Linked DNA regions of Caenorhabditis elegans. The protein of the gene in region 1 purifies or fractionates together with the protein of each later gene. This does not show direct contact. Each region holds a gene or a part of one and is shown on either strand. Other genes may lie near its edges.

Region 1 (11,844 bases):
TTTTTGCAATAGGTTCGCTATTTTTGAATCGGAATTTTTGTCCCTTTTCAAAATTAATTGTGTATTTTTCTTTTTCTTTTTTTTTGATAGATACAAATTTTCAAATAGTAGTTTTCTAGTTTGCGGGCATATATTTTCCAAAATCAGAAGCTTGTAGGAACTTGTATGATTCATGATTTGTTGTGACCTTGGTCTATAATTCATGAATAATATTATTATTATTTTGTTCTTGTTCTGCCATAATAATCACATTTCCCAAACACTTGATTTTTCAAAATCCTTTTTTGTGCTCAATCGTAATTACTGATCCTGCTTTTTCACTCATTTCTCTAATCTTTATATTTCATTTCTCCAAAAAATGTGTCTGAGTCTCTACTATAAACCATTAATCTCTCACTATTCTTTTTCTTTTCGTTTCTCTCTTCAATGCCATTGAAGCGGGGAAAAACCGACGACGACACACACCACACACACACAAACAACACATTGCATAGGCTATATCAAAAAATTATTAAAAATGTTCTTTTTTTTTTGATTCTTATAAAATATTTGTGATTCTTTCCCATGTAAAATTCCGTTTGAACTTAATTAGTGTTATCTAAAATGGTCTCTGATCTTTGATAGTGTCTCTTCAAAAAGAGGGTTGTACGGCAAATGTTCTCTTTTCGATATGGTTGTTTTAGATAAAAAATTAATATAATGTAGAATAATATTTAGTCAATTTGAACACAATTCTTGTTTTGATTGAATTTTTTTAAAAGTATCTAAAGACTGAAAGTTAGTCACTGCTGAAAAAATGGGTCAAAGTTTTGGCAAGTTTCGGTAGTTGGGCTCTATTTCAAACAAAATTTAGGATTATTTCCAGAGAGTTTTCGAATTTTTCAAATTGCTTTTGCTTTCATAAGTTTGCTTATTGCAGAGAAATCAGCAATTTTGTAGATTTTCCGCACACCCTAAATATCAGGTTCGACAAATTTTAAATGTTCTATTTTCAGCAACACGTTTGGATCAATTCTTCATCTCTCATTTGAACAAAAAATTTATTTTTCATCCTAAAATCTAATTTCAACAAAATAACTATCGTTTTTTTCCTTCCAGATGAATTACTAATTTCACTCTAGTTTTTGCAGAATTTTTGCACTTTCAGTTAATTCATTCATATTAAATTGATCTCTATAATTGCAAATGTCATTTTCTAATCATAATCCCATTAATTTCTGAAACTTGATTACGTAGAATGCATAAACTTTAAGTTGGCAGTCCAAATACACATGCAAATGTAAATTCGACCCTTTCTCGCCCATCTGCATTTTTCATTTGAGGTCATTTTACTTTTGTGACCAACTTTGTGTTCTCTGTGGTCTTTTACTCTTTTTTCGTGATGATAATTATAGTTATAGCAAAAAAAACAATTATTGTGACAAGCTGTGTCCAACGTTTTTCATAAATGTTCCTATAACTTTTGCTCCTGGGGTTCGGAAAGTAATCAAATATTTTTAAATATGATTTGTGTGTGAACTCTAGAAAACTTTTAAATTATGCTGTCAGATGCAGAATTTTCATTGACTAGCAAAAACACAAGTCGAATGCAAACTTGATTTTAACTCTAAAAAATAGTATGAAGAATTTTTTCTATTCACTTTTCCATCGTGGGTGCAAAACGGCAAAACAACCAAGATGTGGGCGGAACCATTACACCCTTTTAAAAAATAAAACTAATTTTGGTGAATATTTTAAAATAGATTCGAAAATATTTTGAAAAATACAAAACATTAAAAGATAAATGTATTACTTTTCTGAAAAAATTCCGATGAAAACAACTAATGAACTTGTTTTCATTTTGAGCTTTTCAGTTTCAAGTATTAAGATTTGAAATTCCTAGTTTTAATTTCTGGCCAGTGAACTTTTCTTTCATATTTCGTTTGATGTTTAGTGTATCACTGGTTTTTTTGCAAAATGTTTATTTCTAATTGATTTGAGTTTCTTTAAAAGCAGAAGTGATTAATTTAGGTTATTTTAAAAGCTTCAAGATATTTATTCTTAATATTTATCGCTAGAAACTAAATTTATACAGGCCCCATCATTCCTCTCGTTAATATTTTGTTGATTAGCTTGGTTAGTTTTCTCTTCGTTAGACGAATTCCCCAAATCTAGGTACCTAGAAGCAGTAGAAGTGTTGTTTTGATATTTCCTGTTTATATCTTCCATTTCTCTTACTTCTCACTCTTCTCATTCCTCTAACTTCTGCTTGTTGTGTTCTTGTGTTCCATTTGATTCTGCTCTTGCTCACCGGAGCCACGGCAGCAAATGCAACAAAAGAAAGGAAGAAAAAACGAAGCACACACGCAAAACACATGGCATATTTTCACTTTTGCATCGTTGTCTCTTTCTCTTTCCTTCTTCATCTTCCTTCTTCTTGCTTATGGCTCATGACACCACACCACTTGTGCTCTCTTGGCAGGAAAGCCTGAGCTCACAACTTCTTCAAGTTTTCAGAATATTGTTGGATGGAGAGAAAAGGGAAAGGGGATTTCTGAAAATGATCGGAGGTGAATAGAGTTGGTCAACAAATCTTTCTTTCTCTAGAAGACTTTTCATTTTGTTTTTTATTCTGTTTGCTATGTTGTCCTCTTTTTTGTGCTGTGCTTCTTCTTTTTCTTCCTCTCCTTCTTGTTCTCAACCTTCCAAGCGGTAATGGATTTCTCGTTTTCATTTCCTTTTCTGCAAGATTCATGTGATAATTTCTGTTTTTCCATGTCTCTTTTTTTCGCAGTCTTCATTCCAAATTTTGTATAATCTTCTGATTTCTTTTATTAAAGCCTAAGATCTCAAAACTTAAAACTCAAGATCTTCCTAATGACTTTGTCTTGTGAAATTCTATTATTTGTCATCATTCTCTTGATACTCAGTTATTAGAACTCTTATAGTTAGCCAATTTGTGAGTCATCCTCTAAACATGAATAAATTTGAAAATATTGTCATAATTTCGAAGTTTTCATGGATTTATTTAGATTAATCTTTTAAAGATTGAAAATATTTTGACAAGCTCCTTTAAGTTCGAATTTCAGAAGAATGCAAAATTACTTTTTTTTTGGAAAATTAAACAACTACTAGATTTAGTTTTGAAAACTAATATGTAAATTATTAGATCTGCAAAAATTGAGTTTGTTTTTTCAATATTTTGTTTTCACTCTATTCTCTTCTGCTCAGTCGATTTCACTTATAACCTTGTTATGCCTACGTGCATATTTGCAAAACCTCATTTCGTGCAATTTTTATTTTTCAGGTGATTAAACCCGAAGAACACAAAAAATAGGCAGAAGGCATACATATATAGAAAAAATGGAAGATATATTGATGCCTGAAGGAGAGAAAGTTTCCATGGAGAACTTTGCTCTCCTCAGAGTTCTTGGAAAAGGAGCATATGGAAAAGTATTCCTTGTGCGAAAAGTTGGTGGAAAGGATCATAATACTATATATGCTATGAAAGTGTTGAGAAAGACCAGAGTGAGTTATTTTTGGAAAAGAAATGAATTTAAAAATAATAATTTCTCATTTATACGGTGCTGAACCTTTGTATTATTATTTGTTTTTTCATCTCTCGCCAAGAGCGAAAAAACCGACAATTGCCGGAATTCATATTCTTGAAATGGTTTTGAACTTTTCGAAACAAATAACTGGATTGAAAAATTTTTGAGAGATGGGAAAGTGAGGTGAAATAAAGTTTATAGATTAGTATTTTAATATGAAACGAAAAAAAAACAAATTTGATTGCAGGTGCTCACAAAACAAAAAACCCTGGAGCACACAATGGCAGAGCGTCAAGTACTTGAACGTCTACGTGGAACACCATTTCTTGTCAATTTGTTCTATGCTTTCCAAACTGATACCAAATTGCACATTGTAATGGAATATGTGAGAGGAGGAGAATTATTCACACATCTTTGCTCGAGAGGTCATTTTGATTTAGAAGCTGCTAGATTTGTAATTGCTGAACTTGTGGTTGCAATTGATAGTCTTCATCAAAGAAAAGTTATTTATCGAGATTTGAAGCTTGAGAATATTTTATTGGACGAAGAAGGACACGTTAAGTTGACAGATTTTGGATTAAGTAAATTGTTTCTACCCGGAGAGTTGGATAGAGCCAATTCATATTGTGGAACTATTGAATATATGTGAGTTTTGAAATTTCCAGCCAAAGTTTAGGCACACTGCCAAACGTATTTGGAATTAAAAAAAAAAAGAACTTATCAAACCTCAGAATTATTTGCATGTCAATAATTTAAACATGATTAGAATATACAATTCGTAGTTTTTGATGTAGTTCCAAAATTAGGATTAACAAAAACTGGGTAATTGCTACTTTTTGGTTGTATATTAAAAGGTATCATTTTTTGTTGAAAATTATTGATCATTGATATTTGATTATTGAGCTATTGAATTTTTTCATTGAGATTTTCATATAATTCTTTACAAACGAAAATTGGCACAGACGGCTGTGTAAAAGTAATTTCTGAATAGATAAGAAATAAATTCTCAAGTTTAATGATTCCAGGTCGCCAGAAGTAATCAATCGCCCTGAAGGAGGATACAGTGATGTTGTCGATTGGTGGTCTTTGGGTGTAATTTCATTTGAATTGCTCACTGGATGCTCACCATTTACTGTAGATGGAGCACAAAACTCTAGTAAAGATATTGCCAAGTAAATCATTTCCTCATTTTCTTTATAATTTCTTCGAGTTTTAGACGAATTATGACAAAGAAGGTCCCTTTCCCAAAAACTATGGATGTTGATGCTCGCGATTTCATCGGCCAATTGTTGGAAAAGAAACTTGAAAAACGTCTCGGATACAATGGAGTTGATGAAATTAAAAATCATAAATTTATGTCAAGTATTGACTGGGATGCAGCTGTTAAGCGTACATTGAAGCCAGTGATTGTTCCAAGAATTGGACATGATTTGGATACACAGTTCTTCTCAGCTGAATTCACTTCTCAGCCACCATTATATTCTCCTGCAGAGTCACCATTAAATGCTAATACTCTGTTTAGAGTGAGTTTTTTCTTAACTTGGCAGGCACCGATTGCCGGATTTTGAGCCGAATTCCGAAATATGTTTGACAAAAATAAATTTCCAGAAGAAATTATGTGATTACAGGGATACTCATATGTCTCCCCATCTGTTATATTTGCCAATGACAATGTTATCGGTGAAGAACTAATGGCTGAAGATGTCAATGCACTTCTCGCGAGTTCTTCATTTTTTGCCAAGTACAAACTAGACAAGTCGGACGCTGGTCTTTTAGGAAAAGGAGCTTTTTCGGTGGTCAGGTAAATTTTTATATTTTCATCAACATTTCATGTGCTGGAACTATTTTCTAGATTCGAAAATCTCGAAAAAGTTCAACAAAACGTTATTTTTACATAGTTTTAAAGATAAAATATACAAATTCAGACGATGCGAACGCGTAGTTGACGGAGCCCAGTTTGCAGTCAAAATCGTATCACAAAAGTTCGCAAGTCAGGCTCAACGTGAAGCACGAATTCTTGAAATGGTTCAAGGACATCCGAATATTGTTCAACTTCATGATGTACATTCGGATCCTCTTCATTTTTATCTCGTCATGGAGATTCTGACTGGAAATGAGCTGCTCGAGAGAATTCGAAAATTGGAACGATTTACAGAGGTTAGAATTCTTTTAAGCATTTCTTTAATTCGGAGTTACTCTGAAAATTAAATTTTTAGAGTGAAGCAGCAGACATCATGCGGCAGTTGGTATCAGCTGTGAAATATCTTCATGATAAAAGAATTGTTCATCGAGATTTGAAACCAGAGGTGAGTTTCAATGATCAGATTATGTTAAGTGGCTGCAAAATAATACAAAACATAAGAATAAAATACTTCCAAAAAGTGAAACAAATTAATAATTAAAGGTGGAGTATACTCGAGTAGTTAGAAAATTATGACGCAATTTTTAAAAAAACGGGCACAGTTATTCTTATTCCAGAATATTCTATTTGAAAGTATCGATTCAAGTGCCCGCCTTCGTCTAGTCGATTTTGGATTTGCACGTCTACTTCCAAATTCAATGGAACAACAACTGAAGTCTGTTCAAGTTCTGCGCAAGATGTACGGTCTCATCGCACACAATCATTCACTCCACTCGGAGTAACATTTAGTCTAGTCAAAAGTTATTGTGTTTTGTCTTTTTTCACTCATTATTGGGCATATTTTTGTTTTTTTTTCTTAACTGGGAGCATGTGTCTCAAGCTGAAAATTTAAAAGAACAAATGTTCGAAAAAAGTTACTTTTGGTAGAGAGGAAGACGGTGGTGTGTGATGTTTCGTGCATTCTTGTTACAGATTATCTTCTTTTTCTATCCTTTTAAACCTTTCTTTTCACTTATCTCTACTAAGGGTTTCTTTCTTGATTTCAGAGATTTTTGAAGAAACACACTCATTCTCTGACTCTCACTTGATTTTCAAGACAAAGCTGTTTACTAACAATTCACAAACACTCACATTAAGTTTCTCAAATTTTCTGTAAACTTGAGAGTTAGAGAATGCCCAATTCATCTTTGAATAACGTTTGTTTTCACTAATAGCTTCTATATATTTGCCTAACTCTCACTATGAAATTCTTCAATCATAATTACAGGACCCCCTGCTTCACACTACAGTATGCTGCTCCAGAAGTTTTAGATGTTGGAGATTCTCAACCAGAATACAACGAACAATGTGATTTATGGTCACTTGGAGTTGTACTGGTTAGTTGTATAATTTTGTAATAATTTAATGTTTCAAAAATCGAAGTAAAAATTTTGAGAAAAAACAAAAAGACCCCTCAAATTTAAGAAACGATTGATAATCGATAAAAATCACGAAATGGAAGCATGCAACTACAGTACCACATCGTGAAAAATTTTTTGGACGCATTGAGAACCCTGGTTATTAGAAATTCATAAGAAATATTTTAAATTGTGTGGCACATTTTCTACGAATAAATTTTTCAGTTCACAATGCTATCGGGTCAAGTTCCATTCCATGCACGTTCTCGTCAAGAATCGGCAACTGAAATAATGCAGAGAATTTGTAGAGCAGAATTCTCATTCACAGGAGACGCATGGACAAACGTGTCAGCAGATGCTAAGAATTTAATAACCGGTCTTCTTACTGTGGATCCAAAGAAACGTCTTTCAATGCAAGAGCTTACAGCTCATATGTGGCTCAAGTCTTCGGCTTCAATGGATACACCACTTCAAACTCCTAGTATTCTGCCATCATCAGCAGGTAGTTAAACTGATGTTATTGAAAATTGAATAACCTAATCTTTTGACTTTTCAGATGAAACATTCAATGAGACACTGCGCGCATTCCTCCACGCTAATCGTGATGGATTCCATCTTCTCGATGTTGCTGCTGCTCCTCTCATGAAACGACGCGGAATCAAAAGACAATCTGGGGACAAGGATGCTTCTGGAAACTCGAAAAAGTGAGTTCAAGAACCCTAATATTTGAAACTCCTCCAATTTGGGGTACGGTTTCAAAGTGCACAAGAAACACCACATTTGACGACATTTCTCTAAAATTTTATTTTTTAGTTTTTAAGTTTGCAAATAATTGTAAATTCCTTATTTTATACTATTTAGAACGTCTATTCAAATATTATATTTATGAAATTATTAATAATAATTATTTTCTAAAAAAATATGATACTTCTAATTTTGATCGCATTGTGAACATTTTCGTTTCTGAAAATATACTTTCATTTTCAACAATTTATGTCATTTTCCAGTTCGCGAGTTACCCAATTCGAGTGTCTTCCGGAAGAACAAGAAGCAGAGATGACATCATCAACATCCCGTCCAAGCAATTTGGGAATGATGAACTATCGAGAACCAAATTCTGGAACAATCCGAGAAACTCGTGGCTCAGACTCCTCCTAGACCTTTTTCTTTGTTTCTTTTAATTTTTCTTCCTTTCTGTTCCTGTTTCTCTCACTGTTTGCGTTGTGATTCTTTCGTCCTAGATGCTTTCTAGTCTGTACTCTCTCATTATTCTCACTATTTTACAAATTTTCCGTCACCTGACACTTGTGGCATTGCCTTCTCTATGAGTACAGTTGCTGAAATGTTCATTGAACCTGTAGTGATTGTCATTTGTTAGATATTTCGCATTTCTAGTCAATCCTCTACCAATTTTGAAAAATATTGTGATTCGTGCATTTCATTTTATGTTATTATATCTAGTCTCATGTAAATTTCTAATTTTTTATAATCATTTTGTTAGATACACATATCTTTATTCATCCACCTATCCCCATGTAATCTTTTCATTGTCTCCAGTGACTCCCTGAACTCTTGAACCATTTCCAGAAATTCTTCCATGTTTTGCGATGAGCATGATTGACTTGCCAATCGACTTTTTGAAAGATTAATAAAATTAAGTAATTCGTTTTACATATTTATTTTGGAGAAGGTTTGAAAGCTCCGAATCATAATATCGATTGAAGCATCAACGTGAAAACCTGATGTAATGTGAGAAAATAAAATATGGAAGTGAAAGCATTTTAGAGAATATTTTTAGCGATAAGAGCTTGGTGAAGACGGTGAAGTGGCAAACCAACCACATTCGGCATACATCCTTCGATTCCACGAACGAAGACAGCGCCAAAGTCACCGATTCCATATGAACCTGCTTTTTTCCTGAAATTTCGATTTACTAGGTCAGTTATTCGTGTTTTTTTATTGGAGTTTTCAAATGTCGTGATGAAAATGATGAAAAACGTGATGAAAATTTTAAAAATCCCTCAAGTTTTGCAGCTCTTTCAAATACTCATAAAATGTTCAAAATTTCTTGACCGCCAATTTTTCTTTCATTTTTATGACTTTAGATAAGAAATTCAATTCCAAAAATTTTGATAACTTTCAATCAATAAATATTTCCATAACTTTTTTTTGCTAAAAAAAACTAACAATGGCTCTCCGCTTTTTACATATTCGTCGATAACTCTATCAGGAATATCTCCAAAATGAACAATTGTTTTCTCGATGATCTCTTCATATTGATCAGTTTCATGATAGTGTAGAGCCATTCCAGTATATACATTATGAGTATTGTTACGAAGTCTGAAATTAATTTATACAATTATGATGTTGAAAATTTAATTACCTTTTCAAAGTTTCTTTAGCGTCATTGGCATCTGTTGGTTTTCCAATAATTTCTCCATTGAATTCGATTACTGTATCACACGCAATAATAACAGAGTACGGCTCCTTAATAATTCATATATTAATATAATATCTCAGTTTTTATAATTTCAATTTTAGATTTTAAAAATATGGTAGCAGGTCTCGATATGCTGCAGCACTCTGAAATTTTGCGCAAAAAGTTTTAGGTCGCGTCGAGAAATGTTGCCGTATTTTTTTTGTTGAATTCCGATTTGTTTTTCAACTAATAACTATATTCTCAAGTTACTGAAAAAATAACTATACCTCTTTTCTTTTCATTTCTTCCACAATAGTCGTCAATTTTCCTTTAGCTGTTTCAATGACAAACTGCTTAACTGGCAATGTTTTTGGTAGATTTTCCTCGAAATTTGAAACTTTTACGATTACATTTTCCAATCCCTGAAACCGAAATAAATCTTTCTTTTTGTAGATTCTCATTTTCTCACAATTTGCTGCAACAATTTGAGTCGATTTGGTGACTGACTTGCCAATACAATAATGGCTTCTTTCATTCCGAACTTGCCGTCGTGGGCGAAACACGTGGATCTGAAATTTCGATCGGCTCTTGTGCTCAGTCAATTATTCACAAAAAGTTGGGGACATCCGGATGTAATTAAACAGTACGTTTTGTTTTAATTGAGAAATTGAGAAACTAATAGATAATTAATTATTGTTATTATTATTTTAGAATGGCAAAATATCGCAGAGATGTCATGTCAAAGAGGCTTGTGATGGATTATGTGAAAGAACTTAATCCCAAAATCGACATTGTGAAGGTAAATTTTAATTTCTCAAAAACATTTTTCAATAATAAATAATTCTCAGAAATATTCAAAAAATGGCGTAACTTCATACGAGGGATTTTTCGCAAGTCCTCATGCCACTCTCTTTCCCAATCATATGCCAGGAAACGTCGGTCGAGCACATTTCAGAGCATATCTTCCTCAGAAACCAGGCCCCGTATGCATACATTTGGCAGGCACCGGAGATCACTCTTATTTTAGGTAAGAAAATTGAAAATTTATTTTAAAAAATACGGTACCTGGTCTCGGCACGACAAATTTTTTTGTACTTTAAAACTCGCTGCAGAGTTTTTAACTTACAGTTTCCTTTAAAGGCGCACACCTTTTTGCATTTAACAAAATTCATCGTGTCGAGACCGGATACCGTATTTTTGTCACAAAGATCGAAAAAGTTTGCGTCTGAATAATACATATTTAATCTAAAAAGAGAAAAAAACTCAAAAACTGAGATAAAAAGTATCGCATCTTACATAGATGCATAAATCGAATAATGATTCTTATCAGAGACCACAAAAATTTCGAAAAAATGCAAAAAAATCAAAACTGGTATCATAGATCACTATTATTTCAGACGTCACTATCTTCTTGTTGATGACATGCTTAAGGATGGTGTGGGATCTATTTTAATTCAAAATCCATTTTATGGAGATCGAAAACCACCGAATCAATTCCGTTCTTCTCTTGAAAATGTGACGGATCTTTTTGTGATGGGTGCCGCTTTAATTGCAGAATGTAATCATCTTTTCAATTGGTCTGAGACACTTGGATATGGTCCATTTGCAATTTCTGGTGTCTCGATGGGTGGATTTATGGCTCAACTTGCTGGATCAAATTCGCAACGTCCAATATCAATAGTTCCTATTCTTGCATGGACGACAGCATCACCATCATATACGGAAGGAGCTATTTCTCCAGCTGTTAATTATTCTTTACTGCAGAAACAGCTCGAAGATCCTCACTATGTTGATAAAATCCGAAGAATTCCGAATCAAAATTGGCTGGATAAAATGCGAGAGATGACTGCGAGAAACGGTGATTCAGAAGCCAAGAATATGATGAGAATTTTGATGGATGACTTCACAAGTCTTGAATTCTATCCAACACCAATAGACACATCACTATGCCATGTATTCTTGGCTGATCAGGATCAATATGTACTGCGAAATCAAGGGACACCAACATATCAACAATTATGGCCTAATGTAACTGTTGAAATGATGGAAGGATATGGACATGTTACAGCATATCTATCGAAACATGATCTTTGGCGTCGAAGAATAACCGAATTGCTCAGACGGCAACAGCAGAAAACAATTTAAAATAATTTGCATTTTTACTAGAATTTTGATTTTCCGTTTCTTCTTGTGATACTAGAACTCCCATAGCCAAATTTGAGATTGTCTCTATTTTGACATTACCGGTTTCTCTTTCTCAGTGTGCCTTTTCATAAAATAGAACTATGTCGGTAATGAACATTTTTCAACCAAATTCTACAAACATGATCTCCATATGCGATTTATAATTTAAAACTTTATTCGTCTCCACACTAAAAATAAATGTCGACGTTTTACCATTATTTGGTTTATTGGAAAAGAAAAGAAGGTATAAAAACGTGGTTACAGAGAAAAAAAAACGGATAAGAGATTTCCTATATAAAAAAAATATTCGAGAAAGTAATGATGCATCGAAAAAGTTCGTGAGCTTTTTAGTTTAAAAAGGAGTCTGACTATTTCGAATACAGCAAAAACTCTCAGAAAATGGAAAAATACTCATACTAAACTCTCCATTTTATTTTCACAATTAACAAACAA
Region 2 (12,399 bases), on another chromosome or scaffold:
ATACGGAGTACGAGAAGGAGAACAAAGTGAGTAGAAGAATAGATGCAATTATAACAGCAAAAAAACGTCAAAAATCTTTCAGTGTCAAGTGAAAATTGAAGAAGCTCCGGCGGAATGCAGTTATAAGTGACTGTATCATATATTGATGATATCAACAATAATAAGGCATAATTCCAAAATTCACAACTCATAATGTTACCTACAGTGCCGGTCAATATTATCTTTGAATTTGGTTTTTTGGTGATTTACCCAAGTTGAAAAAACACGTATTACTCCAATACTATAATAGCTAGGAAAATATTTTTAACTGAAAAAATATTTCGAATTGCTTTTTCTACATCATTAATTTTGTAAAAATGATATAATTCTATTCCGAAAAAGTTCAAGCAGGTGACATCCGACGGGTCGGTTATTTTTGTCTAGAGTAGCTAATTGACAGACACTTGGCAATTTCATAAAACAAAGTTTAATAGGAAAATAACCTCCTTTAAATTTTCTACATTTTGCAAAATGCCGTTTTGTCACAGTGTGAAGAAAACTGATTTCTGAATAGGTTAATTAGAAATACAAAATTTGAACTTCCTGTTTATTTTTTTTTATAATTTTTCTTGGTCATTTTGTGAGAAAATAGAAATTTGCAAGAAGTAGATAATTTTATGAAGATAATTTTCGTATTTTACTTTGTTTTGTAAAAACATGCCTCCAGGATGCCAGCTCTGTTTCTTTTTTCCGGAACATAGTTATATGTATGATTTTGACAAATTCAGAAATGTAGTAAAACTGACAAAAGTTTGTTTAAAAAAAAACGATATTTTGTTAAATCTTCTATCATTTGAGATACACATGTTTGAACAATTCAAAAAAACCACCGCAAAACCAAAAGCAAATAGAATATCGACTGGCACTATACAATGCATACCTAGAAAGGCTACAAATGTTTTGTGTATGACATAATAATGCCCTTACCATCCCCGTAGTAGCCGGTGCGCATATCAAATCGATCTTAAAGCTCTTGTGATTCAAACCGTTTTTCCCTATTCTGACCAAAGTGTTATAATACAAGCCAAAAATTCCCTTTAACAAAACCCCACCTAATGGTAACTGTCATACTTCACTTATCATAGTATTTTGTCCAGGCCAGACTTATGCCATACCCCCTCAAACCTGTTATATTTTGTTTCAATGTACCGATCTCACAATCATATGCTTGTTGTTCAATTCATTTCTTTCTCTGCAAAATTATATGAACCGTCATTATTTTTTGAAATGGGTTTTAGAAACATTTATTTGAAGAATATAGATTGTCTAAAAAACAATACAGAATAAAAACAATAACGCCATCCCCGTCTACGCTAATAAATTCGGGGTTATCGCATCAGAAATTGCCAGAGACGTTTGAAGAGTTAGACGAGCACATTCTTGTCCAATTTGGAGAGATTCGACGACTGTTTTGTTATGAGCCAATCCAGCAATTACTCCACTGTTGAAACTATCACCGGCACCGGAAACCGATACGACTTTGTTCATTTGAAGTGGAGGTGGGAGCGATTGGAATTCAAGTTGGCCAAGTTTATTTCTGAAAATAAATTTTATACATATTAGTTTAGAACACTTAGAATGGAATGGTCAAATATCTTTTTTCAAAAAACCTTTTCAGGCAATTTTTGGAAAATTGTTCATTTAGCGAGGCGGGCACGGCAGGTGTTTCGCGTCTGCAAGGAAGCCCTATTCAGCACAACAGTAATAGTTGCGTTTTAAAATTCAAGCTTGGCAATTTGTAGAAAATGCAAAATACCCTACCTATATACCACTGCCGATCCCTTATTCGCCAATGTCACAATAAAAATGGAAGTATTGAGTAGCAGCTTAGTTTTCTCCTTTTCTATAAGTTCCAGCACACCATCGGCTGTATCAATGACCGACGGATCTACGGAGACGTGACAGAGTTTAGCCCATTTCAGAAACTCATTGGCATTTGGCGATGCGGCAGTTACAGCTCCAACCAAGCCTGTGTCGAACACCTTTTTCACTTTGTCAATGTCCGTGGGCTCGAGCCAAACTGAAGCCTTGTATATTTTTGTCTGTTTTTGTTAATTCTATGTAAGTCACCATACCTTGTTTATCATGTTTCTTTGCAATTTCTAAAACTCTGGCCATAACTGGAACTGATAGATTTGAATCAAGAAGAATGAAATCTGATGATTCCAATGCATCTTCATTGCTTTCAACCTGAAAAAACAACTATTTTTTGCCTCGTATCCTATTATACCCACCAATGACGGAGTAATGACACTCAGAAGTGGCTCACAAGTAACAATTCCATATTTCACGTTTCCTTTCACGTTGACTGCTAAATAAGTGCAAGTTGGTTTGTTGCTTATAATCTTTACTCGATTAATATCCTAAACGACACGAAAATTTCCATGAGAAACAACAAAAAAATTTCCTACAATTTTATGACTGTTCTGTCTGAAGAAATGTCCGTTGTTGTCATCGCCAATAGCAGAAATGAAAACTGAATCACATCCAAGCCTGAAATAAAAAATATATTTTAAGATAAAGCTATTTTCAAATCAAGCACTTTGCGCGCCGTGGCTCAAGCCTGCAATACAGTTAAAGTTCAATTGAAGTGCAAAACTATCAGACAAAAGTCAATCAAACAATTGATCGTACACAAAACAATTACAAAACTGAACAACGATCTTGGGATGTTTGTCAAAATAAGAGCAGAAAAAAATCGAATTCCAAAGAGACCGAGTTCAAATTACTTTTTCGCTCTTTTGCGATCCACACAAATACCTCGGCAACATTTACTTTCGTTTGAGCATCAGGTTTGGTGGTATTGTGTTGTCGGTCATCTTTGAAGTTTACAGTGACATTGTACTATCTTGATGTGATGAGAAGTTAAAAGGTCTCGCTTGTGCTTTTGGTTTGAACAAAAAATGAAAGCCACAAGTCCATAAATGCAAATGGACTTGATTAGTTTTATGACATTTTGTATTTCTGTATTTGGTTTAGTATACCGGGGGTGGATTGCTGTTTTTCAAATTTTTGCCAAATTCGGCAAATCGGCGAATTTGCCAGAAAACGGCAATGGCCAAAAATTATCGGCAAATTAAGGTTTTACACATTTTTTCTTTAACTCTATACACATTTAAATTTTGAACCGCAAAATTGTACGCATCCTACGGATCACCCTACATCTATTTTGAAAGTAAGCAATTTATATGTGAATATAATTCAAAAACAGGAAAACATTTCATAATGGCACGGTTCAGTGTTTTCGCCTTATCGAAAATCCTTTTAGAAATTTCCGGCAAACTGATACCGGCAAACGGCAAATTAGCAAATTGCCGGAGTTGAGCAATTCCGGCAAGTTTGCCGATTTGCCGAACGGCAATTACCCACCCCTCATTTGAACACTACATTTTCACATCATTCCAATTATTTATCCCAATATGCACTGTACTTTGACCACGCTACAAATTCTTAGCAATTTTTTTTCTTCAATTCAAAACAAAAATGGTCAGGAAGAAAAACATATCATTTCGATTTCTTGTGAATGTATGAAAACTGTGTGCCAAAAGTGAAAGTGGTGGTGCGTCTTTTAGCGCGACGCACAAGCGATGACATTCTAATTTACGAGTATTTCTGACCTTGCTAATGCATCCGCGTGATTCCTTGCTACTCCTCCCATTCGCTGTACCACTTGTCCGTTGTATGAGCCGCCATCATCCTGAAATCATTTAAGTGTTACCGGATATTATATATATTGGAGTTCAATATCAAATTCTCAATCTCAATTCTTTAGAAAAAAAAACATTATGTGCTTTGAAGCGATCACTTAAATGTGTGACAGTAGCGCATTGATACTTTGTTCAAATAGCAATGAATCAGAAAGCTTGCTCTCCGATTGGCAGTGTGCCGGAAGCTTCTGCCACACAGTTTTCATTTATTTTATTTTGTTCTTTCTCTTTTTTTGTCTTGGCCTCCCACTTTTCATCAATCATACAGACGAGCCATCAGCACTGTTTCTCTCACAATCAATCCTCGTAGAGAGAGAGAGAAAGAAGAAACAAACATGTGCGAGGTGTGTGTTTTCCTGTTCGTCTTTCTTTTCAAAAATCTTTCCCCGTTCCTGTTTTTTGTACCTTCATCATTGATTTTCAGAATCACTTTGCCATAATTATAACAAGTTTTCAGCATGCGGTTTGGTAAAGCGGCATGGCTTTATGGGAGCAATATGATACTCCTGCTTGCCGTTTTTCTCTTTCTTGGCGCCACGATTGTCATGCTCACAAGCCCATTATTCGTGCTGATTCCTATCAAAAAGAATGATCCATATGTTCTTGGATACTGCTTCATCAATATTTGTTTGGTGAGTAGTGCAAAGCTCCGAACTTAATAGTTTCACTATGTATCATCAAAAACCATTGTTTTCAGGCACTTTTGTGTATCGCATCAATTGTTGCAATTCGGAAAAGACAAATTGGCGTTGTCGTTTTTTGTCATTGGATAAAGTGCTGTACACTTATTGTGGATGCTGTCATGGTTTTCGTTTTTGCAAGCATCATGTCCACAGCTCACACCTCGCTATATTCCCACATTCAAGTACTTCACAATAGCAGTGTAAGTATTCAAGATTTTGAAATCCGGGAGAAAAACCAAGTATACAGTTAGGTTGATTTTTTAAAGTTAAACCAGTACAGTTTGTGCAGAACAAAACGTGGAAAAATAGGAGTTATTAAACTCATTGAGGAATACTAATTATTGATACAGTGTGTCCAATTTCTACAAGACCTCCTTTTTAATGATTTGAAAACTCGCACTGACAAAAAACCTATGCAGCATTGTTTTCAGCCTAGTTCAGCCTACCAAATTATTAGTCTATCACTCTGACCAAAAAAAATCAGATGGTCTTGATTACACATTTTAGCACATATACGTGGAATTTGGGATCTCATGACTTTTCCGCTCCCGGCGCAGTTCTTATTGCTAAATTGTTTCAAAAAGTTTGAATACATTCGGTTGCAATTATGATCAACTTTAATTACATTTATTATAGTCCAAAAATGCTGAAAATTATACTAGAACACTGAAAACATTTTCAGATTTTTCAATATCACCATGCAAAATTTTGATAAATTGTGTAATTTTTTAACACGTGTTATTAATTTTCAGAAAGAACTATGCTCTGTCTGGGATAACGTCTATCAGACTTTGATTTGCTGCCCACCCGAAGAAGTGTTACAAACATGTGCAGGTATCTAGTTTCTACAGTTGTTCCCCTCATAAAATTCTGTATTTCAGATTTTCTAAACGTTACAAAATCGTTTTGCCCAACTGGACATTCCAATGACTGCTATATTCATCTCAAGAGGTAACATATCTTTCAGGAAAAACTGAAATTATATGAACAAAAAAATCTTGCAGATGGCTCCATTCCAATACAGAAATAGTCGGATGTCTTGCTTTTTGTGTGATCACGCCGCTGAAGTTGTTCATGATCGCAGCTCTTCGAAAAGATATCGAGAAAGTTGAAACAGAAATGGCGGAACTTGAATACTACTCTCAGATGATTAATGAATAGTAATAACTATGACTTGAGGAGCATTAATAATCAACAATTATATTTCAGTGACCGCCATGGAGATGGTTACATCGAGAGCTTCAAGAGCAATATCAACTTGGCTGACAGCACGTCAACCCAAACATCAGGAATCAGCCGCGTTAAAAGTTTCCCAGGATATTCACCTTTCTTGAAGCACTCTGTAATCGAGGAGGTGGAGAACGAATTTACGGTCCGTGGGGATGAAATTCGGGAAGAGCTACAACAAGCGATTGCTGCTCATAATGCACGACAACTTGAGGCGGCTGCTGTTACTGAACAGTTTTAATTTTTGGGGGTTCAGTTCAGTTTCTCCTTTTTTCATTCCGACAGTTCAGGGGTTTTTGTGAAAGTGTTTGCAAGGGTGTGATGTTGGTATAAGAGATGTTGTTGGTAAAATAATATTTTGATGAATCTTACTAGTTCGGCAATTTGTCACAACTTATACACCAACTTTTGCAACGTTTCTACGAACTATAGAAACATATCTACAACTTTGGCCAAGCACTTTCTACTAAGTTTACCTACTTTGATCAATTTTATCCAACCTTTTTCCCAAATTTAGCAACTTCTTCGCTTGGCATTGCTAAAGTTGCAGCAGTTGGTGGATGAGTTGCAGCAAATTGTCGAGAGTGTTTCACCTAGTGTATATTATTTTTCTCTAACTTTGTTTTTAAATGAGTTTAAACGGTTTGGGCAATTTTGATCTAATAATGCAAATTTCGAATAAAATGAACTCAAATAAACGAATTTCGTAATGAAACTTTTCAAAATTTTTTCAATAATTTTTTATGGCGGTTTCACTTGTGTCTACTTTTCTGTGCCATGTCTGAACCGTTAGGTCCCCTTCAGACAACTTTCCACGGCTCAATCACTTTAAAATCCGCAAACCACTCAAATCTCTAAGTTTCTTTCATCATAATTTTTTACGTGTTTTTCAAAAGTTTTTCTTTTCTAAATTGTCATGTTTTTTTTGGTTTTTTTTTTTTTGGTATACTCCATTCCCCAAATGTTTTTTTCTGATTTTTTTTGTTGTTGCTCATTTTCAATTGTTCTTTGTTTCATTCTCACCTTTACATCTTCACTCGTGATGGCTTCAAAGTCAACGATAGTTGCTCCGATAGAAACCTGAAAAACAGTCGTGATCTGTTTGATACGTTTGACAAATAAATGTCATTGAAACTAGTAGGCGTTGGTTGTTTGCTAAGACAGCTTGTGTTGTTTCAAACTTTTATGAGAACAATACCACATTTCGCAAGTGAATAAAAAAAACTTTATTGTAGGTTTGACTCACCACTTTTGGTTTTCGAGTCGTTGATGCAGTTGGTTGGCTCTGTGAAATTGTAAGTGGACGTCTATCGCAGAGCTTTGCGGCTAGTCTTCCAGCAATTGACGCATTATTCTCGAGAAGTGCAATGTCTGTAAAATGACAATTAACAGCGGAAAAATTGTTCAAAACGCATACTTGTAGCCATTGAAGCTCCTTGTGTGAGCTCGTTCACTCTTGCAAGAATGAATGGGGTGACACTTTGTGAAGCGATGTTTTGTTCACTGAAAGTAAAGTTTTGAAGCAAAACAGGGAACTTTTCAAAAAATATTTTTAAAAAGTGCAACATATTTAAATTTTAACTTACATGGCTTCTTGAACAGCTTGGTCAATTGCTTTCTGGATCGCATCTCCATCAGCTGCATATTTTTCAGGAATAGGACAAGCCAGAATAGTTCCATAAGGTAATCCGAGAGATTTCGAGGTTTCTGAAACACTTCATGACTTTACTTCATGAACCAATATTTTTCATCAACTCACTTAACAGGTGAACAACTTCTTCCAATGATTCAGTGCAGAATTGAGCTTTTCTATCTGATGTTCTAGTGAAAAAGCTTGGAAACACATTTTCTTGCCCATAAACTATGCAGTTCACGGAATGAGTTTCAAGATATTCGACAGTTTTGGGTATGTCTAAAATGCTTTTGACTCCAGAGCACACCACACACACGGGAGTTTGCGAAAGTTCTTGAAGATCAGCCGAAACATCGAATGCTGGAAAATTTTTTTGCTGTTCGGAAAAAAAAGAACTTGAATAAATGGTAAAAAAAATTGTCCAAATTCAACAATTTTCCTAAAACTTCACGGGTCAAAAAAAAAACACCAAACACATGAAACAACTCACTCTGATCTGCACCACGATGTACTCCACCAATGCCACCTGTTGCAAATACACTGATCCCAGCTGCGTGTGCTATCTTCATAGTTGAAGCTACTGTAGTTCCTCCAACTTCTTTCTGAAATCAACATTGAAAAATTTATCATAGTAGATCAAACTTACTTTAATCAGTGTCTTTGCGATATCCCTGGAGGAAACTTTGACTGCATTCTGACTTGAAGCAAGAAGTTCCAGTTTTTCATCATCCAATCCAACATGAATCTGAATAAAATGAAAATGTTTAGGTATACACTATTTAAAATTTTCAAAAAATGATTTTTAATTTTATAGCGTTTAAGTTTTCACAAAAATTCCTAAGAATTTTTAGTTGATGAAACACTAATTTTGGCAGTTTTTGAATAAAAAAATATTATTGTTTTATATGAAAATATTGGTATAAAATGTCGCAGTCTGCTAGAAAAACGAACGTGGCAGCAATAAAAGTATCATTTAATAATTTAAATTTTCAGAAACAAGTTCTAGCGAAAAAACCTACTTTTCCATCAAATAACGCAATCGTAGCTGGATGACTTCCTGATGATCGAACTTTTTGCTCCAAACTTCTTGCAGTACTGCAAATAATTTTTTAATAGTTTCAAATGCATTTGCAATTCACTACCTTAAATTATGAGGGTAAGGAAGTCCATGTGTGATCACTGTACTCTCCAGCGCGACAACTCCTTCTCCGCTAGCTAGAGCCTCCTTAACTTGTGGAGAAATTTGAAGAAATTTGGAAAACGAACGTTTTTGGCCAAAAAATCGAGAACACATAGTGAGAAATAGAGAGTAATAGACCTAGAATGGGGCTCGCACTATCTACAACACTACTTTTTCTGGTTATCGAACAAGATCGATATGGAAAAAGATGGAGAGAAGAGATAAGATTGCCCTCTACACTCTGTTTTTTACTATCTCAAAAGTGTCCATCATTTGATAAGATTGTCATTTTTACGAATTTCAAAGTCCAAGCTTTTTTTTTGTGAAGATTTTATTAATCATTAAAATAAATAAATTGGAATTTTAAAAAGGTTCGATCGAGATCTCGTTAATTTTCGTCATGAAATTAGGAAAATATATTACAACAGATTAGTAAGTATTGAATAGATAAATAAATAAATGAGTAAGAAATATTAAAAAATAAGAATGAATAAATTACGTTTCCAGTGTGACATTTAGTTCGGAATGAGAACTGGTGGTTTTCCACAAGACACTGGCTCAAATCGACCGAGCGGTGTGCGATAAATATCTCTGCGGCAAAAGTTGCAAGTTTTTCTGCAAATGCGGAACGCCAAATGTGCAGTCGATCCGTCGCAAGACCATTGAGACTGCAAAAAAAAAGTGGTCTAGAAAACATTTAGAAAAGCGTCACCTACCTTTCCCCAAACATCCTCCTTCTTCAAAAATCGCTTGCAGAACTCTGATCCATGGCGGTCGAAACATTGGTTGGATTTGTGGCCGGCTTGGAAAATGAGCTCGTATCTATCGGCAGCGCTTTCCATTCCACAAGTGTTACAACATTGGATCAAAGAGAAATCAGCGTCAGTAGCGCATCTGAACTTCATATTTAATTTCAGAGAGCATTTGAAACAATTAATGAAGTTTAAAAAAAAACCAACCTGTCTAGGAACTTCGAAGGATTGTGCTGTTGAAGTCTTCTACAGGCAATGCTCGAAATGATATCGGAGCAACATGGTGGAAAGGCTGCTCCAAGTGCTGTGGAAAGCTCACTGATAGTAATATTATCCTCTTTGTACAATGGTTTGAGCTGTGAAATTTGGAAGCCAGCATCCACAATATCTAAAATTAAAAAAAAACAATAAAATGAATTAGAAATGAAAAAGCCTACTCACGGATGAGAAAAATAGCAGAAAAGACAACCGCGTACTTCCACATGACGCTCAATTGTGGTGTAATTGAGAATGTCCCAAGTCGACGGAACATTGCTCGTACTTTTATAATACAGTGCCAATCATTCCGGTTCTGCACCTCCCGCATTTTCGCGCCGCCCCAAGGCGTTGAGCAGTGTGCAGCAACAACACAATGTAAACGATGACCGGAAGGCACGGAAAAATGAATCGAGCTAAGCATTATGGGAGCATGAGAGACCGTCAACTCTGACGTGATTGGCATATGCACTACTGGATGATCATCGGTGATTACACGTAGGTGACACGTGTCTGTGATTAATATCGCGGAAAGAAGTGTGGGGTATATTGAAGTTGGCATACTATCATAGTAAATCTTTCCAAAAAAATTTTTGGAAATTTTATTCACTCTCAAAAAGTTGCAATTACTGAGTTTTTGCCTCTCATAATTTTGGAAGCAGGTCAAAAAAAATTTATTTTTTCGACGACTTTTATACTTTAATTGTATTCTATTTAGTTGATTTAAAACATTATAAGGGTAGACTCTTGCGACATTGCTCTGGATTTTCTTAAAAGGTTTTCCAAAATTTGGCAACTAGCCAAAACTTCTTTGACTGACTGGAAGTTTTTTTTTAATCTAAAAACTTTTGGAGTGTTTTAATATGGTTATTTTATATCATTATTGGTGCATTTGGAAAAGATCCCCACTGACGCTAATTATCAGAAACTCATGCTTCCAACAATGAAATAACTTCATTCATTAAACAAATTGTTTCTCCTAAAAATTTGAAATTTCTGTTTTACACATAGTTTTCACCATTTGCCTCTTTGAAGAGCCTAAACCATTCAAAAAAGTGGAATGGTTTTTGTCAATTTCGTCAATTGAACTGAAGCGTTTTTTGATCCCATTTTCCTTCGACCTTATTTTTTTGGTTTTTAACAAAGAATTTTTGAAAAATCAAATTTTAAAGTGCAAAATTGCATGGTTTTTCGATTTTAAGTAGTTCCTTTGAATGTGACTGTTTTTAAGTTATTTATATTTTTGTGGTTTGTTTTTCTTAAAGAAAAAGAGCCAATCGGGTAAATCGTAGGTTAGGTGCTCAAAAATTGACACTGAAAAATTTGCCACCAAAAAGGTAAACTTGATTTGTACCCTAAAATTATTTTACGCGGGTATTCGAATATTTTGCTTTTTTATTTTAACTTTATATATATTTCTACGCTTATCGAAAGTATATATGTATAAGAAAAAATTTTTGAAAAAAAGGAACTTCAACAATTTTTTTACTTGAAAATCACGTTAAAAAAAAGAAAAGCTAATTTTTTCCAATGTTTCTTTTCATGTTTCAGCAACCATTTGACTATAAATTGATGATATGTATTCTTTAAATGCCAAGCTTAGATTTTACTTTGTCATTCCTGAAGATCACTGAGCAACATGCTCATTCACATTTGCTACCGCATTTTCCCGTCTTTTATCTCTAAAATCAAATGGTCAGCATACTCAAACATTCCGTTAAGCAACGCTTATTCCTCATTCTTCATCTTTTTTCGTTTTCATCATCACTCTACAACACAACAAAAAAGAATGCACAAACATAATTTGGCGTGTGCTCTTACACTCTCGCCACTTTTACACTCATATCGTCTTCAGAGGTTGTTTGACGTTGCCGGTGGCCACACAGCTTGCCGCGCGGCAAAAGCATATCATTGACTCATAGAGGAAGGCTTTACCGCCGTTGTTAGACACGGGGAAGCATGTGCAGCGTGTTGTGCAACAACTTTTTGTGTTGTGCATTAAGAGAGAGTTGCTCTCTTCCGGCGAATCAAAGATTTTGGAAACCATGTTTGTGATAGGGGGGAGTTCAAAGAACATTTCGATTTAGGACAACTTTTATATATTCAGAAATCAGACTAGTTATTCGAACTGTACAATAATAATAGAAAATAGAGGAATTTTTGGAAAACTGCACAGCAGCTACTGGAAAGGTTGCACACCAGTATATTAAAATTTCTTCCACAACTTTCCATGTTTCTCAAATTTTATTTGGTCTGCTATATTTTCTCTCTCTCTAATTGGGACTCCAAGTCGATCATTTTTCTCAAAAATTGATTACTAAATGCAACATTTTTTAGGAGCCAGTAACGCATACTAAAACCTACCTTAAATAATTGAGTTGTTAACCTTGATAAAATCGCCAACAAAACACAAAAAATGAGTATGCCTGTACACAATAGTTATCACTTTTTGGCTGCCAATAAAACAAATTTTAAAAGTTTTACTATGATATTTGGTTTATTTGTCACCATACATTTAGTTTCAACAATTTCCATACTGGCGCTTTCCCACTTATAAATCAGAAACAATTCAAATAGAACATGTTAAGCTTGGCTTGGGTATTATGTGATTGTCAAAATGTATTTGTGCTTCAAAATGTATCAATAACCATATAAATAATAAGTTTCAAATCACCCAGTTCACACAATTACGTTTCTGTGACATTTGGTCATTTTTGCAGTGGAAGTTTAATAATTTGCCTAATGTCTCTCCACCTTTAATTTTTGCAACCGATCTGTATTGACGTCTCTGTTAAAGGATCAGATGATTAAAACAAATGAAGTCATTAGACTCGATATCATCAGTTCTTACAATCACGCTTTTACTATGAGTAATCATAATTCTTTTCCCTCGTTCTGCTGCTCCGTGCTCATAAACGAGATG
Region 3 (8,561 bases), on another chromosome or scaffold:
TCTTTTTTCCCGAAAAAAACAATAATTTTTTCCGTTTTTTTTGTTGCAAAATCCAAAAAAAAATTCAAAAAAAAAACGGAAACAAATTCCAGAGCGCCCTTCAAAATTTCATACGCCGTGAGGATTGCCATCAAATGCACCTGGAGCACAATTATTCTTCTCTCTACCAAACTCACGACTCGGATGAGGAAAATCAACCGGTGGTGGAGGTGGAGAAACTGATTACCTATGAAGAATACCAAGAAAATCTTTATTCCGCAGAATTTGCATCTCCACAGACTCCACCGCCAATTCCACCACCTCCCGCCGTCTACTATGACAATTTCTCGGATGCTCCTCGAAAACGCGGTCGACCAGTTGGATCAAGAAATCGGAAGGAGGGAGACACCACAATTCCGAAGCAGCAGAGAAAACGGAATCCACAACCGGTTGGACGTGGCCGTGGCCGTGGTGGTGGACGGCCACGTGGTAGTCGATCTAGCAGAGGATCAATGGATGATGGAGGAGGATCAAGACGGCACTCGACAGCATCAGATGCTAACGAATCTGCGGAATTGTTGAACCAACCTGTGACGAAACAGCTGAGAGATGAGATTAAAGAAATAAAACTGAAATACACGAAAATGATGATGGATCGGGGTTTCGAGCAGGCGAAGGACGAGTATTTTAGGTTCGAATCCCGGAATTTCAGAATTTCCCGCAAAAAACTAGATGAATTTAGTTCAATTTTGCACTATTCCGGTTACTGTAGCCTCGAAAACTGATTATGGCCGAATTTTCCCATTTTCTAGGCCATGGCAGCATATTTTGGCCAATTTTAATATAGTGGCTGAGTTCTAGATTTTTCTAGGCCATGGCTGCAAAAACTTGGCCAAATTGAGCAGTGGCCGATGTTTTCAACTGGATTGCCTAGGCCACGGCCCACAGTTTTCGAAATGTTGTGTATTTTAAGTTCGAATTCCGAATTTTCAGAATTTCCGACAAATAAAAAAATTGATGAATTTAGCTCAATTTTGCACTATTCCGGTTACTGTAGCTTTGAAAATACGCAAACACTGATGATGGCCGAGTTTTCTCATTTTCTAGGCCATCCTAATTCAAAAAAAGTTTTAAAAAAATTGATGGCCCATGTTATATTTCTAGAAAGCAAATCCACTTTTTTTTTTTAATTTTGAGTCCTAGGCCATGTTTGTCAAAACTGCTCCAATTTCAAAAATTCAATAGTTGCCGAATTTTTCCATAAGGTTTTCTAGGCCACGATCAGAATTTTGTGAATGGTGGCCGGGGTTTTGAGTTTCCTTAAATTCCTTTTTAAAATTTTCAGTGGCTGAGGTTTTTCTAGGCCACGTTTTTTCTTTGTAATCCAGTAATTCCAGGGGCCGAGTTTTTCTTTTGCAGTTTCTAGGCCACGATAGTAACTTTGAAAGCACCTTTAATTAATTTTTTAAAACAGAAAAACAGTGAAAAATTAGCATTTATAATTTCTAGACCATGGCCGAGCTTTTTCCTTGATTTCTAGGCCATTTTTATTTATATTTATGAATTTTCAGAAATCGTGACGCAGCACTCAGCAAATGGACGCCTGAACAATGGAAAGAGCACAATGAGCAATGTGTGGCAGCCCGTCTCTCGTCTCTAATCCCATACGATCAACGATATTTCCTACCGACTCAACGGGTCCTGGCACGATTGGATCTCGAGGATGGCGATCTACGACTGCCGGCGGTGCATCTTCCAATTGCCATTCAAAGATGTGTCACAAAACTCGGCACCGCCCATGATTGCCACGTACGATGTGATAAATTGACGGGCGATGCGTGGTGCTCGGTGCTTGCAGATTATCATTGTGATATTGTTCGCGATTATTATTCGGATAATTTTTATATTTCGACACTCGGCACTGAAGCGGTTTTTGTGGATGGACGGGCGGTACGAAGACCGCGGCTGACACCGTTTGAGGCAGCTGAGAAATTGAGAACTCGAGGTATTGGAAATGCCAAGAAATGGGCGGGGATTGGAAACTCCGTCTACAAAATGGATAATAAAAAATTGAGGAGTGCGGAAAATGTGGAAATTTTAATTTTTTTTCCGAAAAATTCCAAAAACTCAATTTTTTTGGTGAAAAATACTAAAAAAATCTACAATTTTTAGGGTTTTTAAGGCATATTAAAATCAATTTTTTCTGAGAAAATTCTGAAAATCCGAATTTTTTGATTTTATTTGTTTTAATGCAAAAATATCTACAATTTCTAGGCTTTTTTTCCAAATTAAATTATTTTTCCTGATAAAATTCTGAAATTCCGAATTTTTTTGATTTTTTTTCAATTTTCCTTTAAAAAAATGCCAAAAAATCTACAATTTTTAGGTTTTTTTTCTGATAAAATTCTAAAAAATTACGAATTTTTGGGATATTCTTCATAAAAAGGATCCATTACTTATTGAAAAAAATTTAATTTTTGCAGGTTCCTCAACAATCATCCCTCCACATATCAAATGTCGATGCCAAAAACATTCTGATCTACAAATTTCGCGCCAAGAGAGCACCGGTGAACTCGTTCGCTGTGGAATCCTGAAACTGGAGCACGGAGCACGTATTCAAATTGGCTGTGTCGCGTTCATCTTCTCTAGGATCTAATTATGTGATCTCTTACCTCTTTTTTTCTGTCCGTGAATATCACGTATTTTGATTTTGAAATTTTTTTATGTGAAATCGTAAAATTTTAATGATTCTTTTGGGTGTTTTTTTTTTTGGAAAAAAAAGATTTTTCCGGCAAACGACACGTACAACAATTGCTGAAATTGAAAATTTCCGGCAAATTCGGCAAACCGGCAAGTTGCCGAACTGCAATTGCCACCCATCCCTGTTGTGGGTGACAATCATTTTCCAAAATTTGAAATTGAAATGTTCAAAAAAAAATTGAGCAACGCAGGTTCTACTCCTACAACAGTAGGTGTATGGAATAAAATACTCAGGCAACTCAAATCTAATATGAAAATATTAAATAGCAATATTTTTGTAGTAAATACGAGAAATAGTGCGTCCATATAATATTACTAAAAATTTCGAATAGATTTCGATTGTCTCAAAATATTACAATTTGATCTCAAAATATTGCGAAATATTCTCAAAAGATTGCTCAATCTAAAAAGATTTCGAATAAGTCTCGGAATATTGCGATTTTATCTTGAAATATCACCCAACTACAAAAATATTGCTATTTAATATTTTCATATAAGATTTGAGTTGCCTGAGTATTATCTAAAACTTTGGGAATATCATTATGAGTGGTGTTGCTCTCGCTCTAACAGGATAAAATATCATATTTCCCAGAGTTTTCAATTGGTGTCAGAGTGTCCCATTTCGGTTTGATCTACGAGAAGCGCTGACGTTACGGTTTTCTGTACAAAAATTTGTAGATCAAACCGTAATGGGACAGCCTGACACCACGTGAGTTTGTCCGGTTATGCCCTGCATTTTGCAAATGTTATGATATTTATAATTTTTATAAATAACATTTTTCAATTGTGGAAGACTGTTAGAGTTTCTTCTGCCAAATGTACCTCCAGAATTTTTTATTTAGATGTGGTTAATGTTCATATCTCTGACCCCATGCCTGCCTGTGTATTAGTTGGAGTGGTCAGGACCAGTGTACATCTATAACGTATGTAGTACCCATTATCTTTTTCCTAATCAATAACCTGTTGGTTCACCAAGTCATTCATTTTCTTATTCATTCTTCTTACAACCATGATGAGAGGTTTTCCAATTTTTCGATTACCGCATAAACCACTACGTTTATTGCTGAAAACTATGGAGGTGCAAGATTTGTGAGTGCATTTTTTTCCCAACTGGAAACATAAATATTCTTATAAGTAGAAACAAGTTTTCAGAGTGAGGATATCGTTTTATTCAAAAACTGCCAAACATGCTGTTGAATCGTTGAATATGAAGCTCATATATTTTTATATAACAATTTCTGGGACAATACAATTTGATATCTTCACTTATAATATGGAAGATCTCAATTTGAAATTGTCTGTGACACAATCTGAAGGAAGGAATTTGATTCGAGTGCACGGTGAAAAAGTAATGACAGGAATCAGTTTGCGGGAGTTTATAGATCAAATTCTTACAATATTCCATCAAGCAACTATTCATAAGCTATTTATTAAGCATATCGACTACGATTATCTAGAAGAATTCAATAATTTGAATATTCAACTTTTACACCTCGCGACTAGGAGCTCACTGAAACATTTTGCAAGACGATTCGATTTTCTAACTTTAGAGCAAATTACTTGGGAAACTCGAGATTTCCAGTCACTTGTGGGCCTCAACTTCAAACATTTAGAAACAAGAAGCACTTTTAAACTAGAAGACTTACTCGTTTCAAATACTTCTCAAATACTTATTCATGAACCATTGCCCCTAACAGATCTATGCATATTTCTAAAACATTGGATCAATGGATCAACTGAACGGCTGGAATTATTCCATATGCGTCTTCCTCAAAATTTTCAGAAGGAAGAATTTATTCAGAATGCCTTAAGTGGTATTAAATACAAAAAACTGGACGTCGACCAAAAACTGGAGTTCGAAGCAGCTGTGGATGTATGGAAGGACTCACACAGAGAGGTGAAAAACGAGGGATTTGGAATCCAAAGGAGCGATGGTACCTACGCAATTATTGTTGTGTGTGATGAGTTTGCAACTAACAAGTATTTGAAGATGTTTGTTTGGAAGCCGATTGATTCAAGTATCGGAGATCTCCTTAAAATTGCATCGTTTTAAATGTTAGTTTTGATTTTTTCTTTGTATTTTTGCGCTAAAATACGGTAAATCTTTTGTTTAATGCGAAGAGGTACGCACCTTTAATGAGTACTGTAATTTTAAACTTATTTTTTGCCGCGTGGTTTCCGTTGCTCGAGCCAAAAAAATGCCGAAGTTATTTATTAGAATTTATTCTTGATTTTAATCGATAAATATATATTATTTACCACAAACCATTTCGACTTTGATCAAAGCTTTGATTTAAATATATTTAATCTTAAATTTCCCGCTGCAAACGCGCTCGCTGACACGGCGCAGAGATAAGAGGGCGCCAGAGAAGTTTTGAGAGAAATCATTTTTTTGAATTTTATTTTCAATGTTTCCTGAATTTCAGCTCAATTAAAGCGGAAAATGTTTATTTTTGCAGAGTATCTACGTGGTCACAAGAGGAAACTTGTACAAAATTAATTTAAATGTTAAACATCTATTTTAAAATGATTTATTATTTATTTTTCTGTTGAATAAATTGAATAAACTTAAATCTTGAATTTAAATCGTGAAATTTAAATCGTTTTGTAATTCTGGTTGCCAATTTACCAGTTCATTTCTATTTTATTAACAATTTCCGCACAGATCATCAGTTTCCCTTCCAGGAATCCCAAAAAATGGACAGATATTACGGTAGCCACGTGGCAAATTCAAGTTTTGACTCATTTATGCAATCTGTGGATCCATTTGAGCCAACACCGAAACGAAGATCCACTGGAGAGGTAATTATGCGAAAAAATCCGGAAAAGCTCGAACTTCAGAGGTTTTTCCAGCTTTTCAAGGAGAATTCTTGAGAAATTGGAAAAAACATAGAAAAACTGGCAGAGTTTGCTCAAATTTTTGTATATAAATGACTGCCTTTGTCAATTTTTGCAGAATATTGTTGAAAATCGAACAATTTCATCAAAACATTGCTGAAAATACAGAAAACCTGAAAATTTCAATGTTTTTCGAGTTTTATGCAGAAAAATGCGATAATTTTCGCCTGAAACTCGTTTTTTTTCAAAAAATCTTTTAGAAAATTGAAGTTTTGAGTATGCTAAAACAATAAATCAATTTTTCCAAAAATTTGCGCGTCAAATATGGTGTATTAAGTACGCAATTAGAAGTTGTGCAAACACCACTAATATTACACCATATTTTACGCGCAAATGTGAATATTTTGTCTTAAAATTGCAGTTTTTGAAAAAAAAAAAGGTTTTTTTTTCAATTTTCTCAAAATTTCAGTCGGACAGCATCGCCCGAGCCATCAGAAATGCTTTGGATCCCGAGCTACAGTACCCCCAGCCATCAATCGATATTTTTGGACCGTCTACATCAAATTTTGGAAATTATGAAGAAAATGATGAATCAATTCTGGCAATAGTATCCTCAACACATTCTTCACAAGAATTGAGCACAACAACGGATAGGGAAAAACCGCCGAAAAAAGTGAAAAAAGAGAAGAAAATTGGAGAAAAATTCCCGATTTTCAACTCCAAACCGGCGCATCAGCCGATTATGGATGATTTTTTATCACCTGATGATATCGAGGTGATTAATGGGATTTTTTCTATAAAATCCCGGAATTTAAGATAAAAATCTAGAAAAAAAGTTTTCCATTGAAAATTAGAGTTTTGACTTATAAAAAAATCGCGACGAGACCCATTTGAACAAAATGCGTGCGCCTTTAAATTTAAACTCTGATTTTGAAAATTCATTAAAATTTGAATTTTAAAAATTTTTCGGAAAAAATTGCATCAAACTTTTGATATTCATTCATTTTTTCTTAAAATTGGTTGAAAAAACTCAAAAAATTCTTAATTTTTCAAATTTTCAAGTTTTCTGATTTAAAATTTTTCTTTACGTTAAAAAAATTAAAATAAACTATAAAAAATGCTTCAAATTCTTTGAAAAAAAAAATCAAAAAAAAGACCGATTTTTCTTGAAAAATCCAATTCCTAAAAACCTTCTTGCTACAAATTCTGCAAAAATTCAAAACTCACAGAATTTACAGAGAAAATAAAAGCTCAAAAAATTCGTATTTTTAGCAGAAATTCAAAGTTCTAAACAATTTTGCGCGTCAATAAAATTGGATTTGAAAAAAATTAACCTGAAACTTGTAAAAAAATTATTTAAAAAAAATTTTTTAAAAAATCGCTCAATTTTAATATTTTTTGTTGAAACAATATGGCTAAAATTTCTAATATTTAGAGCAAATTATCAAAACGGTCCAAATCTCATAAAAAGTTTCTGAAAAATTCCAAATTTTCTGTATTTCCAGCGCTACCGTAACCGTCCCCGGAAACCATACGTAAAACAAATTCGAATGGACGATTATCTATTCAAAGCCCGTCGAATTGATAAAGGATCACGAGAATTTGGATTACACACAACACACGAACCAAAACGTGGAAGCAAGAAAAAACGGGATTCGATTGAAAGTCTTGAAGTTGAAAATATTCAGAAACCATCGAAAAAGCACAATGAGCAACATCAAAAGAAGCCTGAGCAACTCGATTTCACACTGGCATTCACTACGCCGAGTCCGGCAAGAAATCGCCAAAAAACTTCGAAATTGACAAAGTTTTTCGAGAAAAATCCATCGAAAACTTCTAATCGAGGTGAATATTTATTTTCAATTGTTTTTTTGAAAATTAAAAATTCAAAAAAAATTATTTAAAAAAATCTGGAAATTATTGGAAATAATTTTTAGTTTTTTTCGAACATAAAAAAAACGTGTTTTTTGCTTAAATTAATTTAAAAAAAGATTCTCTAGAAAAGATTTCCGCTTTTTTTGAGATTTTCGAGAAATATCGAATATTTGAAAAAATTTCATTGAAATATACGGAAATGAGCTGGAAATTTAAAATTTTCTTTTTTTTTTTAAACGAAAATTCGAAAAAATAATTCCATTTATCAGAGAGTCGGTTCTTTAAAAAAATTTTTAAAAACAGAAAATTTTAAAATCGAGAAGCAAATATTTCCCATATATATGGGAATCGAAACAGTAAAAAATATTTTCTAGATCGTTAAAATTTCAAAAATTTCCGTTTTTTCAGAGATTTTTAAAGAAAATCGAATATATGAAAAATTTCATTAAAGAAATAGAGAAATGAGCTGAAATTTTGGGATTTTTCGATTTTTTTTAATTAAAAAAAAATCAGAAAATCGAGAAAAAATTTCTTGATTTTTTTAAAGATTTTCAACAGCAAAATAAATTAAAAAATTAAAAAAAAATTATTTCCAGATTCGAAAATTGAAAACCGTTCGAATTCTTCATCTATCATGTACAATGATCCATCTGCCTACTCAAATGATAGTATTTTGGATGATACAATTATCTCCTCAACACCTCCTGATAAATCATCATTTCTCGCTGAAACTATGCCACTAGCGACACCAAGTCCCAAGAATTTGACACCAAAAAGAGCTCTTCCGACTTCTAGTGCTCGATCGATATTCGGACACGTTGTGCTGCCGAATCCGATGAAACGAAAGGATTTAGGTGTTCTGGCAGCAGTGGAGAAGGTTGGAAATTTCTGAAAATCTGGAATTGGAGAATAATTGTGGTCTCGCAGCGAAGATTCTAAAAATAGATAAAATCAAAATTTTCTAAAATTAAAAAATGCGGAATTTTTTTAAATTGCATTTTTGAACCCAAATTTTTTCGAAACGTTTTGTTCATAAAAAAGTTTGTAAAAATTCAAAAAAAATTTAAAATTTAGAAAAAAATGCAGAAATTGCCCAAAAGCTAAAGAAC

What was found.
Region 2: the proteins of rskn-2 (region 1) and T24C12.3 fractionate together in Caenorhabditis elegans (co-fractionation; one large-scale study listed by BioGRID). This does not show direct contact.
Region 3: the proteins of rskn-2 (region 1) and fbxb-87 fractionate together in Caenorhabditis elegans (co-fractionation; one large-scale study listed by BioGRID). This does not show direct contact.

Annotation. Positions count from the first base shown.
Region 1 is NC_003279.8:8,011,126-8,022,969, forward strand, and holds rskn-2 (Ribosomal protein S6 kinase), read left to right. Parts: upstream 1-3,284; 5' UTR 3,285-3,342; coding exon 3,343-3,507; intron 3,508-3,777; coding exon 3,778-4,175; intron 4,176-4,555; coding exon 4,556-4,702; intron 4,703-4,746; coding exon 4,747-5,053; intron 5,054-5,158; coding exon 5,159-5,331; intron 5,332-5,455; coding exon 5,456-5,687; intron 5,688-5,746; coding exon 5,747-5,836; intron 5,837-6,008; coding exon 6,009-6,130; intron 6,131-6,658; coding exon 6,659-6,767; intron 6,768-7,013; coding exon 7,014-7,293; intron 7,294-7,344; coding exon 7,345-7,492; intron 7,493-7,795; coding exon 7,796-7,946; 3' UTR 7,947-8,455; downstream 8,456-11,844. Other genes in the region: dod-18 (Nucleotide PPase), read right to left, coding at 8,570-8,705, 8,976-9,128, 9,172-9,275, 9,495-9,629, 9,677-9,742; C54G4.7 (AB hydrolase-1 domain-containing protein), read left to right, coding at 9,729-9,850, 9,919-10,006, 10,056-10,234, 10,605-11,352. UniProt on the Caenorhabditis elegans protein: Serine/threonine kinase that may play a role in mediating the mitogen- and stress-induced effects on transcription. May repress transcription via phosphorylation of 'Ser-1' of histone H2A. May phosphorylate histone H3.
Region 2 is NC_003284.9:2,195,257-2,207,655, forward strand, and holds T24C12.3 (Carbohydrate kinase PfkB domain-containing protein), read right to left. Parts: upstream 8,638-12,399; 5' UTR 8,584-8,637; coding exon 8,432-8,583; intron 8,385-8,431; coding exon 8,309-8,384; intron 8,035-8,308; coding exon 7,936-8,034; intron 7,892-7,935; coding exon 7,780-7,891; intron 7,650-7,779; coding exon 7,416-7,649; intron 7,364-7,415; coding exon 7,243-7,363; intron 7,160-7,242; coding exon 7,074-7,159; intron 7,028-7,073; coding exon 6,903-7,027; intron 6,737-6,902; coding exon 6,680-6,736; intron 5,898-6,679; coding exon of another isoform or gene 5,639-5,897; intron 5,590-5,638; coding exon of another isoform or gene 5,434-5,589; intron 5,381-5,433; coding exon of another isoform or gene 5,311-5,380; intron 5,264-5,310; coding exon of another isoform or gene 5,182-5,263; intron 4,630-5,181; coding exon of another isoform or gene 4,444-4,629; intron 4,379-4,443; coding exon of another isoform or gene 4,205-4,378; exon of another isoform or gene 4,184-4,204; intron 3,737-4,183; coding exon 3,657-3,736; intron 2,533-3,656; coding exon 2,451-2,532; intron 2,403-2,450; coding exon 2,274-2,402; intron 2,230-2,273; coding exon 2,115-2,229; and 6 more. Other genes in the region: gap-1 (GTPase Activating Protein family), read left to right, coding at 1-26, 83-130; T24C12.1 (Tetraspanin family protein), read left to right, coding at 4,205-4,378, 4,444-4,629, 5,182-5,263, 5,311-5,380, 5,434-5,589, 5,639-5,897; T24C12.4 (ShKT domain-containing protein), read right to left, coding at 8,985-9,137, 9,186-9,363, 9,429-9,609, 9,663-9,705.
Region 3 is NC_003281.10:10,890,941-10,899,501, forward strand, and holds fbxb-87 (F-box domain-containing protein), read left to right. Parts: upstream 1-3,579; 5' UTR 3,580-3,748; coding exon 3,749-3,828; intron 3,829-3,891; coding exon 3,892-4,792; 3' UTR 4,793-4,794; intron 4,795-5,198; 3' UTR 5,199-5,316; downstream 5,317-8,561. Other genes in the region: athp-1 (PHD-type domain-containing protein), read left to right, coding at 93-670, 1,551-1,984, 2,463-2,635; com-1 (DNA endonuclease activator Ctp1 C-terminal domain-containing protein), read left to right, coding at 5,488-5,541, 6,047-6,352, 7,083-7,422, 8,049-8,329.